Linked DNA regions of Rhinolophus ferrumequinum. Each later gene encodes a partner of the first gene's protein in a complex. Links are inferred from orthologs where the notes say so. Each region holds a gene or a part of one and is shown on either strand. Other genes may lie near its edges. The genes, in order: RBM15B, METTL3 and CBLL1.

Region 1 (3,748 bases):
TTATCTACGATGGGTGAACTCCTGCAAGGAAGCAGATTTCAGGTCATGCAGTGTTGCAGGTGTTTCTTCTAAGGCCTTTCCCCTGACACCTGCCTTAGCTGCTTTCAGGAGCTGCTTTCCTGTTTGGGGGAGAGGGAAAGCTGCTGCGCTCCTCCCACCACGGTTTCTGTGGCTGACGTTGGGTATGGTTCTCCGTAGCTCCCCTCTCCTCACCTCACTTCTCCCGAGAAGAGCTCCTGTCCTGGGAGGTGGATAGGAGGGCCCTGGCCAGTGAGAGGTAAGCGCGGCAATTCGTGGAACTACTGGCTTTGGCCTCTTGGCACCAAGACAGTGGCCCTTGTCCTTGCAGCCCACTGTCTGGTGCCAAGTAGCCTAGTCCCGGCCCCTAAACTGTTACATTGTCTCGGGTTTCTGTGCCTGGGCCTAAAGAGGTGTCGCCCTCTGCATGCATAGCCATGGCCCTCATGGCCTTTCGGGGGACCGCTGCGGTGAACCTGAACTTAGAGGATGCCCCAGGATGGCCTTGGGTCATGGATGGGGCCTAGGGAGCAGCCTGCTCCTATCCTTGGGATTGTTAATCCCGGACCCCAGTCAGGAGATGCCGTGGCGGAAATTGGGGTGATACCACGTAAAGGGATCGCTAGGCAAGGCCCTGGACCCCGGCGCCCACATGCTACGGCCTGAGGCGGTGAGAGCCAGCCCGGCTCTCCCTAGGACTCGGATCTCAGCGTATCCCCGAGCGTCAGCCACGCTGGCCGCACGGTGGCGCCAGAGCTCAACCCAGCCGCGCTCGCCTGCCTGTCGCGGAGTCACGTGGCAAGGGGCGGCGCAGTCCGATGGCGTAAGCCCAGCGCAGCTCTCGCCCCGCCCGCCGCTGGGTCACGTGGCACGGCGGGCGCAGCCTGATAACGCGACGCCCAGCCCCTGGGCTCCGCTCCCGCCCCGCCGCTGAGTCCTTTTGTCCAAGATGGCGGCGCCGGGGGCGCTGCCTCCTCCGCCGCCGCCGCCGCCGCCGCCGCTGTGAGAGGCCGGAGGGCCGCCCGCCCGCCCGCCACGCCGGCGCCATGAAGAGGCAAAGCGAGCGAGACTCGAGCCCGAGCGGGCGGGGCTCGTCATCGTCAGCCAAGCGGCCGCGGGAGCGCGAACGGGAGGCGGAGGCGGGCGGGCGGCGGGCGGCGCACAAGGCCTCCGGCGGCGCCAAGCACCCCGTTCCAACGCGGACCCGCGACAAACCCCGTGGTAGCGGGGGCGGCGGGGGTGGGCATCGCGACGGCCGCGGCGCCGGGGACGCGAATCACCGTGCGAGCAGCGGCCGCTCCTCGGGCTCGGGCGCCGGCGGCGGGGGACGCGGCGGCAAGGCCTCGGGGGACCCGGGCGCTTCAGGCGCTTCTCCCCGCGCGTCTCCGTTGCCACCACCTCCGCCGCCGCCCGGAGCCGAGCCCGCGGGTCCCGGCTCGTCGGCGGCAGCACCCGAGTACAAGACGCTGCTCATCAGCAGCCTGAGCCCCGCGCTGCCTGCAGAGCACCTCGAGGACCGGCTGTTCCACCAGTTCAAGCGCTTCGGCGAGATCAGCCTGCGCCTGTCGCACACGCCTGAGCTGGGCCGCGTGGCCTACGTGAACTTCCGGCACCCACAGGACGCGCGCGAGGCCCGCCAGCACGCCCTGGCCCGCCAGCTGCTGCTCTACGACCGCCCGCTCAAGGTGGAGCCCGTGTACCTGCGCGGTGGCGGCGGTGGGAGCAGCCGGCGAAGCAGCAGCAGCAGCGCCGCCGCCTCCACGCCGCCCCCAGGGCCGCCTGCGCCTGCTGACCCGCTTGGCTACCTGCCGCTGCACGGTGGCTACCAGTACAAGCAGCGCTCACTTTCCCCTGTCGCCGCCCCGCCACTGCGGGAGCCCCGCGCCCGCCATGCCCACGCTGCTGCAGCCTTTGCCCTGGATGCTGCGGCCGCCGCTGCCGTGGGACTATCTCGGGAGCGGGCCCTAGACTACTACGGGTTGTACGACGACCGGGGGCGCCCATATGGCTACCCCGCCGTGTGTGAGGAGGACCTGATGCCCGAGGATGACCAGCGGGCCACGCGCAACCTCTTCATCGGGAACCTGGACCACAGCGTGTCGGAGGTGGAGCTGCGACGAGCCTTCGAAAAGTACGGCATCATTGAGGAGGTGGTCATCAAAAGACCGGCCCGGGGCCAGGGCGGTGCGTACGCCTTCCTCAAGTTCCAGAACCTAGACATGGCCCACAGGGCGAAGGTGGCCATGTCAGGGCGGGTGATTGGCCGCAACCCCATTAAGATCGGCTATGGCAAGGCCAACCCCACCACCCGCCTCTGGGTGGGTGGCCTGGGGCCTAACACCTCGCTGGCCGCCCTGGCCCGGGAGTTTGACCGCTTTGGGAGCATTCGGACCATTGATCATGTGAAAGGAGACAGCTTCGCCTACATCCAGTACGAGAGCCTGGACGCAGCGCAGGCCGCCTGTGCTAAAATGAGGGGCTTTCCCTTGGGTGGTCCAGACCGCAGGCTGCGTGTGGATTTTGCCAAAGCAGAGGAGACTCGGTATCCCCAGCAGTACCAGCCCTCCCCTCTCCCTGTGCATTACGAGCTGCTCCCAGATGGGTATACCCGGCACCGAAACCTGGATGCCGATCTGAGGGTGCGGGATAGGACCCCCCCACACCTCCTGTACTCAGACCGAGACCGGACCTTTTTGGAAGGGGACTGGGCCAGCCCCAGCAAAAGCTCTGACCGCCGAAACAGCCTGGAGGGCTACAGCCGCTCAGTGCGCAGCCGGAGTGGGGAGCGCTGGGGAGGAGATGGGGACCGGGGCCTGCCCAAGCCCTGGGAGGAGAGGCGGAAGCGGAGGAGTCTTTCCAGTGACCGCGGGAGGACAACCCACTCCCCTTACGAGGAACGGAGCAGGACCAAGGGTGGTGGGCAGCTGGCCGATCGAGGCTCCGACCGCACCCCTGAGCGCAGTCGCAAGGAAAATCACTCCAGTGAAGGGACCAAGGAGTCAAGCAGCAACTCCCTCAGCAACAGCAGACACGGGGCGGAGGAGCGGAGCCACCACCACCACGAGGCTGCAGACTCTTCCCACGGGAAGAAGACACGCGAGAGCGAGCGCAATCATCGAACCGCTGAGGCTGAGCCCAAGCCTCTGGAAGAGCCAAAACACGAGACCAAAAAGCTCAAGAATCTTTCCGAGTATGCCCAGACGTTGCAGCTGGGTTGGAACGGGCTTCTAGTGTTGAAAAACAGCTGCTTCCCGACATCTATGCACATCCTAGAGGGGGACCAGGGGGTCATCAGCGGTCTCCTCAAGGACCACGCTTCTGGGAGTAAGCTGACTCAGCTGAAGATTGCCCAGCGCCTTCGACTGGACCAGCCCAAGCTCGACGAGGTCACGCGACGCATCAAGCAAGGGAGCCCCAATGGCTACGCAGTGCTGCTGGCCACCCAGGCAACCCCCAGTGGGCCTGGCACCGAGGGGATGCCCGCGGTGGAGCCAGGCCTACAGAGGCGGCTTCTCAGGAACCTGGTCTCCTACTTGAAACAGAAGCAGGCGGCGGGGGTGATCAGCCTGCCAGTGGGTGGGTCCAAGGGCAGAGACAGCACAGGCATGCTGTACGCCTTCCCGCCCTGTGACTTTTCCCAGCAATACCTCCAGTCGGCGCTGAGGACACTGGGCAAGCTCGAGGAAGAGCACATGGTGATAGTGATCGTAAGGGACTCGGCCTAGCCCAA
Region 2 (3,748 bases), on another chromosome or scaffold:
AGAAATCAAAGACATTGATGCTTAGATGACTTTATCAAGTTTAAGTAACTAATGAGTGAAATTATCAAGTCTGGGTATCTGGACATCCAGAGTAGTGTCCTTTCTATCATGCTATTACTTAGAAATTTTAAGATACTGTTTAAAAATATTTTTCTAATAAAAACATTAAATTAAAAAAAAAAGGTTTTAAAAAATCTAAGTTGCTGGTTTGGTGGCTTCAAGAAGTGCTACACTTTGCACTATGTTAAGCTATCTGGGATAGATGAAGAAAATGCAAAGGTATTTCCCTTGGTTAAACAAAAACAGACTAATGGATGGAAGCAGAAGTAGGAGTCCCAAGGTATAGACTATGGGGATGGAATGATTTTCATTATATATCAAAACACCAGTGAGATTTAACTATGCTAGTATTTTTAGTAGAATATTATTAGGGTTCTAGTAACAGAGTTACATAGATTTTGAGCAGACTACTTCAAAACCTATTTCTTCTATAAGCCCTGCTATTTTGTAATGCAGACTTCTGCAGAAAGCAAGGTTTTTCAGGAACACACACAAACATACCTATATAGTAAAAATGCCTCTAACTATATCTTTCCAGAATGCTTTTTTTAAAAAAAGATGATGAGATGCTTAAGGCCAGTAACAGGAGTCTATGATACATTAAGAAGCAATTGGGTTATTTCTCTATGATAGTGATGTAATTGTTAGATTTTCCATCTAAAATTGATATGCATAAATAAAAGGCTCAGCCACAGAGGAAACCAAAGAATAAGAAAAAAAAAGGAGAGAAAACTGGATCTACAAGAGGTCAAAGGAATTGAAGTTTATATATCAAGAAATACCTTCTCCCTCTTGGGTAATTCAGTAACTACTCCAATGCTTGACTACTAATTAATCCCTTATCATAGGAGTTGCACTTTTTCCTCTACTCATCCTGCCCTCTTTACTTCTTTTCAATGATCTAAGCCCTATATAGCCATCAAAACCAAATTCCAAGTGCCAGCTCCTCCATGATGCTTTTCATTGAACCAACTCTTGTTACTTCTCCTTTCACTACATTCACTGTGGACTCATTCATTTGGCATTTTACATGTATCATATTGTATCTGACTTGTTATAAGCATCTATCCTTTAACCCCAACTAAATTTCAAATTCCTTGAGGGCAGGGTCAATGTCATACTTATTTTTGTCTAACTAGAGTCATGCACACTGTAACAACTCAATAGATGTTCGTTTATTTATTTATTTTGGTGTGAGAGTCCTGCCAGGGCATTTGCTAGTTCCAGGGACAAGAGTATGTCTGCGTCGACCTGATATGTATCAAGACAAGATTTAGTGATGGACTAGAAGATAGAGATAAACATTTGAACAAGCTACCACTGTCGTATAGAGTCACTATGTTTGTAGATCTTCAAAACTGATTTGCCTTAAATCATTCAGGGCTCATGCTGGGGATGGGTGATGGGTAGGACTTGAAAAATCTTTTGAGGCTCCTTCGTTTTATGCCTGACACGGGGGACACGGGAGGGGAGAAAAAATTTAAAAACAAACAAAACCGTTTTCAGATTCCTGCTCGGTATGTAAATGACTGAAACAATGTCAGTTCCTCTTCTCATTTAGTAAAACCGAGTGCAACTCTGTGAGGGCCACTGAGATGGGCACTGTGGATATTAAGATGCGGTGCTTGCTCTCTCGGTGTCCCGTCACAGATAAACGACCACTACCAACCAGTCGCTGTAACCGACAGGAACAAAGCGCCATAGAAGCAACAAAAAAAGGGGACTTGCTACTTCGAGAGATAGGGCTGAGACCTGGCAAACGCGACATTCTTTAAGACTTAAGAGGAATCAGCCAGGGGACGGGGGTGGGGCACAGGCGTCAAACCCAGGAAAGCGAACGCAAGGAACCAAAGCCCAGGGTGGGAAGGAACCTCAACTACTTGCAGCGGGGCGAAGCATCTGTGCTACTGAGGGACGAAAGAGAGTACCAATGAACAAGGCATTAAAGAAATAGCCGCTTGGAGAAGGGCTCTCACTCGGGAGCGGTCTTTTTCTACAGGGATCCCTCCCGCACACCCCGGCTACGCATGGGCCAGGATAGCCCCGCGCCTCACCCAGGTGCCCCGAGTCCTGCTTCCGCCTCCGCTGCAGCCTCTCCCGCAGCGAGTCCAGCTGCTTTTTGTGGGCCTGGATGGAGCTCCACGTGTCTGACATCCTAGTCTCACAGCCTGGACAAGTCTCGAATCAGGCGCGGCGGACTAGCACCTCCCAGCCGGAATTCCAGGAAATATTCAATTCTCTCGTGGACACCCCAAGGCGAACCGGAAAGAGATCCCGAGAGATGGCCTAGACGGAAAAGTCACTTCCGGTTTAGCGTTCGCTTTGAAGCTGAAACGAAAGCCATCTTAGGTATTGGCAGGATGGAGGACATATTTTTTAATTGGGCTTCTTGCGTCCTTCCGGGAGCAATGAGGCTGTGGTTGCCATGTTGGTGCCTGGCAAAGAGGCCATGTTGCTTATAGGCGCGCATGCGGCCATGTTTGAGCATAAGGAGATGCTTCCTGAGGGTTGACCTTAAAATAACACTAGTACAGCAGCACGTGTAGTACCGGTATTTAAAATGAAGGATCACTAATTCGTCTCGGCCAAGTTTGATACATACCTTTTCCACTGAAGGTGTAGTGGGTTTATGGTTTCATGCATTCATTTGCAAAGAGCTATTACATTAGTTTCCGCCCTATGGATGTGTATGCGTGGGCATGCTTCTCAGAGAGAAGGAGGACTGATGGATCGATGGTAATATAAGGGGTCTACAAATACATATTCTCACTCTTCTTAATTATATAACATCTACAAGTATCGTGTAATACATTGAAATACAGTCCTCATAAGGGCACATAAAGGGGGCTTCTGAGGTTCAGGTTGCATTGTGTTTCTTTTCTGGATGCTGTTTGCATGAGTATGTCATTTGTGAAAATCAACTGAGCCAAAAATTTTGGTATGTGCACGTCTCTGTAGGTGTAGTAAACTTAAATTAAAAACTTGTATTAAAAATATAGTTAGTATGTAATACTATACTAGTTTCAGGTGTACACAGTAGTTACTCAATCTTTATATACCTAAAGAAGTGATCACCATGATAAGTCCAGCAACCATCTGACACCATACAATACTATCACGATATATTGACTATATTCCCTATGCTGTACATTATATCCCCATGACTTACTTGTTTTATACTTGGAAATTTGGATCACAATTGCCCTTCACCTTTCCCGCTTTTTAATTTTTTCAGTTTCAGTTGACATTCAATATTATTGTCATACAGGGTGTCATGCAGGGTCTCTGGTCCCACTGCCCACCTAAGAACGCAGGATATGGTGAGACCAAAAAGGAACAACACAGAGCCATAGATAGGGAAGTCATACCACTATATTCTCGCTGGTGGCCGGGCAAGACACACACAGTAGGATCCACATAATCGGCAGTCCCCCATTCGTTTCTTCTGCCTGCCAATCAACCAACCAATCAATGCAGTCCCGGCAGTTACATCAGTAGCCAATTGGCTAAACGGTTACAGCTGACAGCGAACCAATCACAGTTGATTGTCATTCATTACCTGAGCCAGCACCTCCCCACAGGAGGCTGAGAGCCTGGAAACTGCTCTCTGGGACTGTGTCCCCACAATTATTTTATATGAATTTCAGGTGTACAGCATATGGTTAGACATTGATATAATTTAAAAAGT
Region 3 (3,748 bases), on another chromosome or scaffold:
ATTACCTCCTAAATTGTCTATTTTCTATTATTCTTGCCACCCTCTCTTACACCCTTCTCCATAGAACCTATTATATTTTTAAGATACTATGCTCCTCTTCTACTTCTGTTCAATGGCTTCATATTGCACATAAAATAAATTTGAATCTTTAACATGGCCTTCAAAGTCTTGCACGACCTGATTCCTGCCCTCCTTTCCAATCTCGTATTAGAGCTCTTTCCTTCTTGCTAATAACTAAGCTGCAGCCGACTAATTTCCCACTTCATTCTTTGTACTTGCTGAATATGCTTTCCTCCTGATCTATTCCATGGCTGGATTCTTCTCATCCATCAGATCTCAAGTTGTTAATGCTACCTTTAGAGAAAGACCTTCCCTACCACCCTCTCTGAAGCGTCGTATTAGTCTTTACCACAGCATGTTTGTTTTCAAAGAACTTATCATAACTTGTAAACATTTGGGCTTTAAAAAAAATTTATTGTGTCTTCCCCAATAGATCGTAACCTCCATGACAGTAACTCTGCCTTGTTTACCATTCCATCTCCAGGCCTGCAAGTTTTGGAGATAGAGAAAAATACAGACAGACAGATAGACAGGTATTTGATGATTGAGGACATCCCAACAAGTACTTACTACAGGAAAACGCCTTTTTTCCCTATTTGCGATGTGGTTAATGTAACTATACGAAGCACTTTCTAATCCCAAGTGCACTCATTCAATATCCAAAAACCCAGCAAGCTAAACCAAAAAAACACGTAACAAAGAGTGGAGCCATCCTTACTTTGAGAAAGAGATGTGAATGTCTTGATTTTAAGTTCTCCTTTGTAAATGTCCCCAAATGATGAGTAAGGGCCATAGCCGAAGCGCGGGGTTTCGATAGAAAAGCTGCTCCGAGCATCATTCCGAAAACCAACCCGACTCCCTTCTCCCACCTCTAGTCCATAAAGGACGGGAGAGACAATGACCACAGACGCTGACCACCGCAGCACCCGCCCAAAGCTGCCTGAGACAGCAGAACGTCTCCAACCCACTCTCGCAAATCCACTCCCAGCGTAATAAGGCTTCCCCGTCTCCGAAACGGGAATCTCCCCCTAGTTCCCGTAATGTAGGGCATAGCCCTCAGAATGAGAAAGAGAAAGAGAGAGAGAGAGAGCGAGATCTCCGCACAAGGCCCGCGCCGCCCGCCGTCCCGGCTCGGGGCTCAGCAGAACCAGATAAGCGGCCGTTGCCGGCACCGCGGCTGGAGGTACCACACCGGAGAGTAGGCCGGGAAGTAGCAGGCCCTTGCCGGGCAGGGGGAGGGGTCTGTAAGATTTCTTTCTCACCGCTACACCCCAGTAATGTAGGGCGAGCGTAACCCCTCTATGTCCGCTAGGAGACCAGTCCCAGGCCGGCCAAGGGGGCATGGAACCGGGACCCCCACTGCCTCCGCCTCCTTACCAGTGTGATCCATGATTCGGCTCGCAGAGCACAGTGGGAACGGAAGTCAACTGCGCCGGAGTCGCAGGGAGCGCGTGCGCGCTACCTTCCGGAGCCCGGGAGGCGGAAGTGCCATTAGGTTGCCCCGGCTTTGGCTTCCGAGGGCTTCCTTTCCTGGCTCACACCACCCAACTCCGGTAAGCGAATTAGGCATAGTTCGGGCTGAGGAAGAAAGAGCGAGTAGGCTAAGGCCTTCGATGTCGGGGTTGCTACGGCCTCTCCTCACATGCTTCGAGAGAAAGTAGCCTTTGACTGGAAAGGAGACGGACGGGAACCGGGGAGGGGGAGAGCGGTAGTAGCTGGAGGGATAAGCTCCCGGCAGGTAGGCGGATGCCCGCCCCCGCTGAGCGTTGACTTCTGGGACTTGAAGTGCACCGGAGCCCTGGAGAGGCCAGGCCCAGTGCGCAGGCTCGGCCGTTGGGCGGCCCCACCCCGGCAGGCGGAGTAACGGTTTGGAATCCCCCAGGTCCCAGAGCGGCTGTCCCCTCCCCGGGTCTAGGAAAAGTGTAAACACGCGCGCTCCCCTAGGCGTCCTCCGGCGGAGCTAGCCCAGGGGATGGGTGAGCTGTGTGAAGCTCCCAGCTAGAGAGAAGGGCGCTGTGCTTATTGTCTAAAGGTCGCTTTGCCGCGACGAGCTACATAGACCCACGCACAACCGACTTGGTATTTGTCCCCGTTCCCGCCTCTTAAGTTTCTAACAGTTGCGACACATTTAGAATGCTTGAGTAGCACTCCTTTTCTAGCCTAAAAGCTTCTGCCTCTAGGAACAGCCAGAACATATGTCCGAAGGACTGGGTGCAGGGTCAGGTGGAGAGCGAGTGCAGCGCAGCCGCCTGTTTCTAGGGGACGCCGGTCAATAAAGTGCACCGTGGAGCTGAAGGAGGGGAGGTGGAGAGAGCGTTAGGGCTGGCCGGAAGGGAGAGGTTAAAAAGGAAAGGCCTCAAAGGAGGAAGAGAGAGTTACCACAGTAAGCAGTACCTAGTTCCAGTTCTTGGTCCCAGGGGTTTGTGGCTGCTGCTGCTTTCATCTTCTTAGGCCAAAACAACGGAAAGTGGCAAAGAGTGATTCCTGAGGACCTTCAGTGCGGTCTCCACCTCTCGGGCTTGGCTCATTTGTGTCCACTCCCTTCTCTTTTACGTTTGATACCCTCTGATGGGTAGAAAGGAGCACAATTAGTGGAAAACACAAGCTGGGGAGTCAAGGGATTTGGGTTCTATTCTTGTCGTCCCTTGGTGACGACATCATTACCTTGGGTTATTCACGCTTTCAGTGCCAGAGTTCCTTGATTAATAAGAGATTACATTGACCTCTTACAAGAAATGTTTTCATGGTACTGAATTCCAAATAAAGTATGTGTAGCAATGTGCTGTATCTGTATAGATATACAGTAACAACTTTGAATAATATGTTCCCTGTTATTTGGTGAGTGTTTTACTTGAATCCTTTAAAAGACACTCCCACTACTATATCTGCAACTTCATGAACAAGTTTTTAAGGACCTTCACAAGGAAGGATAATTGTGAATCAAGATTACCCCTGCTTTTGTTAAAATGTGGTTTTCAAGATGCTTTCAGTTGCTGGCCTTATTTTTTGTTTTGGAGGCTGGGAGAAGCTTAATCTTCCTCCCATACTTCCTATTTACAGTGTTGATACGATCGAGCATTTTTCACCAATTTGGGGTTTAAAAAAAGGTCGTTTTCACCTAGAAAGTACTCTTTTTATTTTTTCTATCCTCATATTTAGCCTATTGGCCATACTTTAGATTGATGCAAATCCAGGTTTAAAATAATATTAGTGTCTACTGATGCTAATATTTAAAGAATTAGAAGAAAAAAGAACTTTCAAACTATTTTATATAATCTAAATCAGAAGTTTTGTCAGCATTGTTATGAAAATTTACTAAGGGAAAACTCACCTGTTTAGACTTCCTGTTGATAAAATGTTAAACATTTGGTGAATTATTTCATTTAACATCTGTTGTTTTCATGCATTACTTTATGCTCTATATTCATTTCTCCCTTAACTGTAGTTGCTTCACTTTACCAGTGCAGCAGTGTAAATCTCTTAACTAAACTGGTAAGTGAAACTATACATAGATTGAGATTTTATTACTGTGCTTGGTAGCTATTGTTGGTGACTTGTGTGCTGTAATGTCACAATTTCTTTATTGAAAGTCCACATTCACATTTATTTTATAGCATGGCACTGTCCTAAGGTTCATAAAAATGGAACATCGTGATAGACGATCTGGAGCACTGAGGTGCGCATTTTC

The links.
Region 2: RBM15B (region 1) and METTL3 share a complex: the UniProt entries of both Homo sapiens proteins name them as parts of the WMM complex. The link is inferred for Rhinolophus ferrumequinum from reciprocal best matches to the Homo sapiens genes RBM15B and METTL3.
Region 3: RBM15B (region 1) and CBLL1 share a complex: the UniProt entries of both Homo sapiens proteins name them as parts of the WMM complex. The link is inferred for Rhinolophus ferrumequinum from reciprocal best matches to the Homo sapiens genes RBM15B and CBLL1.

The regions. Positions count from the first base shown.
Region 1 is NC_046300.1:5,656,079-5,659,826, reverse strand, and holds the start of RBM15B (putative RNA-binding protein 15B), read left to right. Parts: upstream 1-932; 5' UTR 933-1,064; coding exon 1,065-3,743; 3' UTR 3,744-3,748. UniProt on the Homo sapiens protein: RNA-binding protein that acts as a key regulator of N6-methyladenosine (m6A) methylation of RNAs, thereby regulating different processes, such as alternative splicing of mRNAs and X chromosome inactivation mediated by Xist RNA.
Region 2 is NC_046289.1:72,314,263-72,318,010, forward strand, and holds the start of METTL3 (N6-adenosine-methyltransferase catalytic subunit), read right to left. Parts: upstream 2,324-3,748; 5' UTR 2,215-2,323; coding exon 2,115-2,214; intron 1-2,114. UniProt on the Homo sapiens protein: The METTL3-METTL14 heterodimer forms a N6-methyltransferase complex that methylates adenosine residues at the N(6) position of some RNAs and regulates various processes such as the circadian clock, differentiation of embryonic and hematopoietic stem cells, cortical neurogenesis, response to DNA damage, differentiation of T-cells and primary miRNA processing.
Region 3 is NC_046303.1:50,839,984-50,843,731, reverse strand, and holds the start of CBLL1 (E3 ubiquitin-protein ligase Hakai), read right to left. Parts: upstream 2,727-3,748; 5' UTR 2,504-2,726; coding exon 2,455-2,503; intron 2,405-2,454; exon of another isoform or gene 1,451-2,404; coding exon of another isoform or gene 1,438-1,450; intron 1-1,437. UniProt on the Homo sapiens protein: E3 ubiquitin-protein ligase that mediates ubiquitination of several tyrosine-phosphorylated Src substrates, including CDH1, CTTN and DOK1. Targets CDH1 for endocytosis and degradation.